Caenorhabditis elegans: one gene and its partner. The protein of the gene in region 2 interacts with the protein of the main gene of each other region in a pairwise test. Each region holds a gene or a part of one and is shown on either strand. Other genes may lie near its edges.

Region 1 (3,397 bases), about 10 Mb from region 2:
AACCACATGAAACCATAAAGTTTTCTAAACTAATTCTCAAGTTTTACTCACCAAACAATTTGCATCCTTCAAACACTCATCCATACAATGATACTTGAAACTACCTTCAATTTTTATTGGAGTAGAGAATATTGTTGGAGCACCCCAGACGATGAACATTTTCTCAATGGCTTCGCATTTTGAGAAACAAGCAACAATTGCCAAGAAGAGGAGCAAGGGTGGCATTTTCTGTTTTAAAAAACAAGAAAGTAGAAAACCAGGACTAGGAAGCTTACTGGAGTTCTTGTTGCTAGGTAGTAAACGTTCCAACATAAAAATTGATATATGTGAATACATTTTTGAGCATCGCACAAAATTGCAAACTTTTCCGCAAAAGTGGCATGGTATTTTTGAATTTTTTGAATTAAAGTAACTAGATACGCGAGTTTTTTTTTGAATGCCCTTTCAACACTAGTTTATAAGGTTTAATTGTGACATTTTCAAACGTAATTGCTTTTGGTTAAATAAAAACTTACTGTTGCTTGTTTAGCCTCACTCTTAAAATCAACATATTGAAACAGTAGATGTTTTTTTTCAAAATTTCCAAATGTTTCAACAAGAAGATAGTCAAAGTGCATTCTGTGTTAGAACCTTGCTATGGAATATTTCATTTTAGGAATAACTCTTCAAAACAACACCTTGAAACTGTTAATAAAAATTTTGTGTAATGTTTGTCAACAAGATTACAGTCAAACTTATTTATTTGATAAGAAACACAAAACACTTGATACATAGAAATTATTTGGAAGTCGATGGTTCAGCTGCGTCCTTCTCAGCATTCGCCTTCTTCTCAGCTTCAGCCTTCTCCTTTGCAGCTCTCTCAGCAGCTTCATCCTCTTCATCAGTTGGAATTGCAAAGATGATTCTCAACTCATCAGGAGACTTTCCGATAGCCATCATGGCAACCATCTTGCATCCATAATTCATTAATCCAGGCACATCAAGGTAGTTGCAGGCAACAATCAAGTCGAAGAGCACTTCGTTGTCGATTTTCAAGAAGTTGGTATCCCATTCGGGAACAGTGATATGCTTTGGAACACTGTCATCATCAACTGGAAGTGCTTCTCCTTTGTGTTTCTCACACCATTCAATGACCATCTTCAGGATGTTTCCAGTGACATTTGTAATTGGAATTGGATCCATTGAAGCTACATCTTCTGGAGCACATGTAGAGATTAGATTGGAGAGTGTATTTGATTGTTTTACTGCTTCATCACTGATTTCGAAAACTGTTCCATCATTTGATTCAACTTTGTACATGATTGGAGCAGCAACTGGAGCTTCTTGGATTTCAACGGCAGCGACTTCAGCGGACATTGTTGGTAGTTTTAGAGTAGTTTCTGGAAAAATAATGGGTTGAAAAAATAAAGAAAGATGATTAAGTTAAGAAAATGTAGGAAAATCTGATTTCAAAAAGTAAAAAAAAGAACTGTATCTAACAGCTGTTATAATTTCGGGTAACAACGTTAGATAATAGTTTTGAAATGTGTATAGAAAGATAGAAAAAAATGTAGACGACTGCTCACAATGAGATATAAACGATAGAATGACTCTGCAGACAGACTATCCCTCAAAAAATGTTAGAAATCGATCGATTGGAACGCTGCGTTTGTTCAAAAAGTATTGATTAGTTTTCCACAGGGAGATGATGAGAAATGCCGTCAAGTTGAACGCGACGAGAAAAAGAAAATTTGACTGTTTCAACTGGTTGTTATACATTTGGATAAGATTTATATAGTATTGCATCTAAAGTTGATTGAAGAGTTATACACGCAAAATCAACAGCATGGAACGCTGCGTTTGTTCGAAAAATATCGATTTGTCTAAAAAGGTTTAATATCAACCGACAAGGTTGTTGAGGAGGCCCCTAATATTTTATCGATCAAAAAGTGGTCTGAAATAGTGTAAGCCTAAATTAATCCAAAGGGGTTTAAAGCAACAAATTTGACAAACTGGTTTACATATCCTCGATATGAATTTTACAAAAAAAAAGAAGAAAGCAAATCCCAATGCAATATTCGAATAAGGCTTGCGCTAAAATTTGATAACACCTCGAAATAGCAAAATTTAGAATTGATTTTAAATTTTTTTTGCAATATTGCGACATTTTCTCAAATTACATTTTAGGAGGTTTTTAGAAGATCAGAATATTTTTTAAGGTTATAGGTAATCGAATTTTAAAGTGATTTTTCGGTTTTATTAGTGGTACAACTTTAAGTAATTATCAAGTTTATTTCTCGATCGGGATTTGTTCAAAAATAGTTTATTATAAAAACTGCATCAAACAGGTATTATAGTTTTAGAGAGTTCAACATTTTTAATTGGACTAGAACTTTGAATGCTTAAAGTTTAAGGTTTTCAGACAAACAGATTCTGGGTCATTGATAAAACAAAAGAACGAAAAACCAAAAAAAAAAAAAATTTAAAAAGAAGGAAAAATAAAATGCAGCTGCCCAGGGTGAGAGCTAAATGCAAGAATGACCAATAGCCTAACTGGCTTCGGTTAAAAACGCTGGAAATGTAGGTCAAATTTTGACAGGATGAGATGAGACATTGTGTTATAGGCGAGGTTTAGAGAGAAAAGACCTTTGTTAGGGAAATCCTAGAGCAGGTGCACTGTCTGTTTTTCTAAACCTCCTAGAAATGCATTGAACTCTCTCTACCCAATATCAATAATTGACCTAGATTTGCAGCGTCCCAGTCGTTTTCTGGAAAAAAACAGTCTGCCTGATTGTGAGGAGTCATTTATACATTCTCTTCTCATTGTGAGTAGTCGCATTTTTTGTTCTTTCTTTTTTTCCATTTTTCAATGCATTCTATTTGTTTCTCCAATTTTTTATTCCATTTCCGACTTAATTCAATTTGGTTGCTACCTTGCTACGTCTGAGACTTGTAGATCAAATATTAACATAGTTGCTAGAATACAGTAACAAACATAACAGTTTTATAAAAACGGACCTAAATTTTGATTCTTTGCAAATTAGTCCAATATTTTTTTCCCGAGAAATACCCCCTAATTTTTACCCGAAATTTGGTATATTTTAGAAACAGTAATTTTTTTTTCACCTCTCCAATTACAAAAACGTATGCATCTTTGAGTTAATTTCCAGCACTTTCCTTGTCATATTCCTATAGTATTTCTAATGTGTATAATTAGTTCAGTATTAATACTATATAAATCGTATCCAAGTTTATAACAACCAATTGAAACAGTCAAATTTTCTTTTTCTCGTCGCGTTTAACTTGACGGCATTTCTCATCATCTCCCTGTGGAAAACTAATCAATATTTTTTTAACAAACGCAGCGTTCCAATCGATCGATTTCTAATATTTTTTTCGGCACACTCTGCATGTAGAC
Region 2 (4,575 bases):
CAAACACTGATCATGCCTCCACTCGCCGCAGAGGTCGATATACCGCCTCTGGTCGTGATGCCCCTAGCCCAGGCATAATTTCTGGCTTTTTGTCATATAAGAGGGGAGATGTTGTGGACGGAACGTAAACCTGAACTTTATACAGACGTGACCTTTGGGTCATCATGAACTTATCGCGTAAGCGACCTCTCTTTATAATTCATTACTTCTTACACTTATTGTAATAAACTACTTCTCTCCTTGTCTCTCGCTCAATACACAACAATTATGTCATTTAAAACAAAATAATTCGCACTAAATTTAACTCACTTTGAAATTTTTCAAAAATACTGTTTCAAGTTGGTAATATATGTTTATTTAGAATTCACGAATTGTTGGTCTTATGGGTCATTTTTCAATTACATTTGAATATTTCAGACTTTTCATTTAAAGCGAGGCCCGTCGAAGGGGGGGGGGGGGATTGCCGGCGGCGGAGGATCCTAGTCAGGGGCCACGCCCACGAAACCGTGCGGCAATTTAAATTTTGTAATCTCCGCACTGTTTATTTGTTAATTTTTTCTCTATGTCTCTCAATCCCCAACAAATTTCAACTTTTGTTTTTCGAAACTATGCGGAGCTTGCAAAATTTAAATTTCCGCGTTTGAATTTTCGAAGAATACTGTTTCAAGTTGTTCATATGTTCATATCCTCATTCGGAATATACTGTGCAATGCAATGAGTTTTGGCATTTAAATCCGCATTTAGTTTGATATTTTCTTTACTTGTTGTTTAAGGGAAATTACAGTGCTCCGAATTTATAAAAGATGTCATTATTCAAGAGTTCAGTTCAATTTCAAGTAGTTTAATTTTCGGACTCAATGTACACACCGAATTCGTCCATTTCCGTATGATTTCCAGTTGCAATAGTCTTTTCCTCAAGTGTAGTTTCTGAAAAATTAAGTGTTCTTGTATTGTTAAAGTCCACATGAATACCTTCAATAGTGACAGTTGAGTTTGTGGTATTTGTTTTCGGTTTCTGTGTCACAGTGGTGTTTTTAGTGGTAGAAATGGTAGTCGTAGTGTCAGTAGTCGAGGTGGTAGTTGTATCTTCTTTGTAATGTAAATAAAATGGAAGTCCAGATAGTTTTGCATCTGAAAATGGCTCAACATTTTTGATCTGTAGGGAATAATTGTTTGTAATATATTTGGAGTTCTCTTAAATTTGAAAAAATTGAGAAGTAGTCACCAACAGTTTCATTGACATGTGATATATTGAAAATATATGTTGTTCTTAATGTAGTTAAAATTCAGTGTAGCAGTTTTTCTAGCTTTTTTAAAATTCAAATCCAGTTCCTATAGTGATAAAGTAATTAAATTACCATGTTTAATTGCATACAATGCAATATCCAGTTGATTCGAACACTCTTTATTTTCTCTCATTTTCAAAAATGAAGTAGTATCCTCAAGACAGTTGATAAGATCCTCCCGACATTGAATATATGATTGATCATATCTATCCAATGGACGCATTTTCAAAGTACAAACTAAATGACTATAGGCACAACTGATCAAAGGCTCTGAAAAAAAATATATGAACTATTTGTTAGCCCATTTTATAGAAAACTGACTTCTAAATCCAAGACAAGATTTATACAATCTATTGTATTCACGATTTGCAGTTTGATTTGTTGCTGGGTGAAATGCTGTCAACTCTCTGTTATCTGGTGTTCTTGTTCCATAATGCTCATGTCCAAACTTTCTGACAAGAGAACAAGCAGCATCGGTTACAAAATCGGCACACATAAAATAGCGATCCTTTGTACTGGTCATGGCATTCTGAAATATCAAAATTTTAACAATTTCTGTTTAATCTGGCAGTCTTCTTTGAATTTCGGTAGAGGTACTATAATAATTTTTTATGTTGCCTTATACATACCTCGGAAAAAAATACTTGAAGCTACGTGGGAATGCCACATTTTTACATTAATACCCGTGCACCATACTCTAAAAAATTGTGAAAACCTCGTGATGACATATACTTTTTTATCGATTTCAAAATTAAAGTTGGCAATAAACGTATTTAATTTGAACTTTTTTCTCAAAAAAGTTCAAAACTCACACGAAGACAATTACAGAATTTGTTATCACATCCTTCTTGGGTTTGAGCAATATTATCGTAACAAGAATCGTGAACAGCACAGCAATGGTTCAATTCAACTGGAAAACAATATATTTATCAAAAATCTGTGTTTTTCTTGTTATCTAGCTCAAGGATTCATGGATTAATATGTAATTTCTGAATACGTAACATATTTTGGCCCAACTTACTTGCTTTTTCATCGCAAGTTTGGGAAATGACCTCATGAGAAATTTTCCATTGAAACCTGCTCGCACCACAGAACCACGCCTCGGGGTTAATGGTTTGTTGACCAGGGCTGAAACAATTTAAATAGGTTTACATTTTGAAAATGTACAAAATAAAATATTTTTTCAGGTAAAAATCAGTTTCAAAAATGAAAAAAAGAACATATAAAACTAACAGCTGAAAGCGTTTAGAGCGATGTTGGACTTCTGGAGTAGAAAAAGCTATGACACTGTGAAGCAGCAGAAGTAATGGCAAAGTGAACAGCATTATTCTGATTTGATGTTGATCTTCGAATTCTCAGACCAGGCAATGATTGGTTTGTTTGAGAATGGTGAGAGGTTACGTGAATTTTTTTTTTTGAGAAAAGTTCAAAATTCTAGTTGGATTTTTCACGTTTCAAATTGTATTAATCAAAATAATTTGAAAGTTGAAATAAATACATTCACTTAATTTCAATCAATGCTATTGAACGAAGCTGCAGGTTTTCCAAATTTCAAAAAATCTGATGTTTTGCACTGTGCTTTGAATAATTCAAAAACACGAAAAATGAAAATTTAAATGAAAATTTTGAAACGGCTGATTGAAAAAATTAAATTTCTGAAAGATTGGGCGTCACACCAATTAAAAGCAGTTTGATAGTTTTTTTTTAAATTTCCTTTTAACCAATTCATACAAAAAACGTATAAAAACAGTATTTGAGACAACAATTCCCGAGCTAATTTTATTGCTTTTTTATTGTGAACTTCCAAGAAAACCTTCTAAATAAGTACACGTTGATTCCAGCTTCAAACTCTTCAAAAATACGTCAAAAATATTGAAAATATTTCCAAGTGAATTCTAATTTAAATTTTAAAATGTTCTGAATAGTTTTACATCAACGTGAACTTTTATTTCATTTTTTTCTATTCTTCACGTGGCGTTTGCCAACTCATACGTTCAGAGAATCGATAAATCGATCAGTTCTCAATAATTTTCTTGAAACGGTTGTGCATCAAAAAAGTCTTCCGTTTGAAATTCTTCGCACGATGACAGATCATTTCAATTACGGACCTCGTTTGAATTTCAATCATCTTCATCAGCAACAACAGTTGCAGTGAGTTTTTGGGAAAATTTTTTTGAAAGTATAAATATTCGTTTTAGTTCAACAATCATTCCTTCGGAGTATCTCGGAGACAAGTCAGGATTTGAGTCCAGGTAAGGGATGAAGAAGGCAATTCCAAAAAATTTTTAAACAAAAAACGACTGTTTCACGGTGCTATTATAACAAAACCATATGAATGTGATTTGGTTCGAACCATGCCTTTGCCATTTTTAAAACATCATTATAAATAGTTCTGCAAATTAATATTACAGAACTCTTCCATCGGAATCTATTATGTCAGCCAACAGCAGCAGTCTTGGATCTCACTGGAAGAGAATTGATTCGTTCACTAGTGGAAAATCTACCCAATCAATTCCCACTACAATTTCTTCGAAACCTCTAACTATTCCTTCATCGATTTCTGCCAACACCGCTTCCATCCCACCAAATCATGGTTCAGAATTTTCGAAAGATTTCAAGATGTCATCCTCATCGAGCATGACTAGTGAGTATTCGGAAACCATCCATGGAAACTCGTTGGCATCTCTGGCTCCATCGTCACAAATATTGAGCTCTTTGGTTGAAACTACTGAGAATCGGGAAATGAGATTGTGCCTCGGTAAGCAAATGGAAGGAATTCTGGAACTGGATACGGTAAGTTGTTGCAGCTTACATTTTCTATAAAGAGACGTCAATCTCCAAAATTATTAAATCCAATTAACAATTGTCCAAGAAAAATGCATTTGAATTTTTCCGCATTCAAAATGTTGTATTGTCAGAAGAAGTGCACACAGACACAATCATGCCTGCCTGCCTGCCTCAATGTCAACCTGATAATTTAAAAATGCTCGCAGGCAGGCATGTGTCAGGCACGTCTTTCTGATAAGCAAGATGCTGAAAGGTTTATCTATCAGTTTTTTAGATCCTCGAGCAAACTGTGGAAAATACAACTGAAACAGTTGTCAAGCAAACATCCAAACTTGCTGAGTTGCTGCAAAATGGAAAACGTACTTGGGGACATCATGATGAGCTCGTTGATTGCCTGGAAGAAACTGTTGGTGGAACAGTAGATGAGCTGGAAAAGTTGGAAAAGAAGCTTCTTGATATGGACGCCAAGGTGAGAGAATTAAAGTTTTCCCGATGATAAGAA

Evidence for each region.
Region 1: the proteins of C31H1.5 (region 2) and skr-10 interact in a two-hybrid assay, tested with the Caenorhabditis elegans proteins (one large-scale study listed by BioGRID).

The regions. Positions count from the first base shown.
Region 1 is NC_003282.8:15,944,766-15,948,162, reverse strand, and holds skr-10 (Skp1-related protein), read right to left. Parts: upstream 1,357-3,397; coding exon 778-1,356; downstream 1-777.
Region 2 is NC_003282.8:5,794,152-5,798,726, forward strand, and holds C31H1.5 (Phospholipase A(2)), read right to left. Parts: upstream 2,644-4,575; 5' UTR 2,612-2,643; coding exon 2,520-2,611; intron 2,415-2,519; coding exon 2,308-2,414; intron 2,197-2,307; coding exon 2,099-2,196; intron 1,816-2,098; coding exon 1,608-1,815; intron 1,557-1,607; coding exon 1,359-1,556; intron 1,296-1,358; exon of another isoform or gene 1,275-1,295; intron 1,132-1,274; coding exon 973-1,131; intron 928-972; coding exon 842-927; 3' UTR 781-841; downstream 1-780. Other genes in the region: C31H1.1 (DUF148 domain-containing protein), read left to right, coding at 3,370-3,437, 3,485-3,538, 3,698-4,079, 4,348-4,542.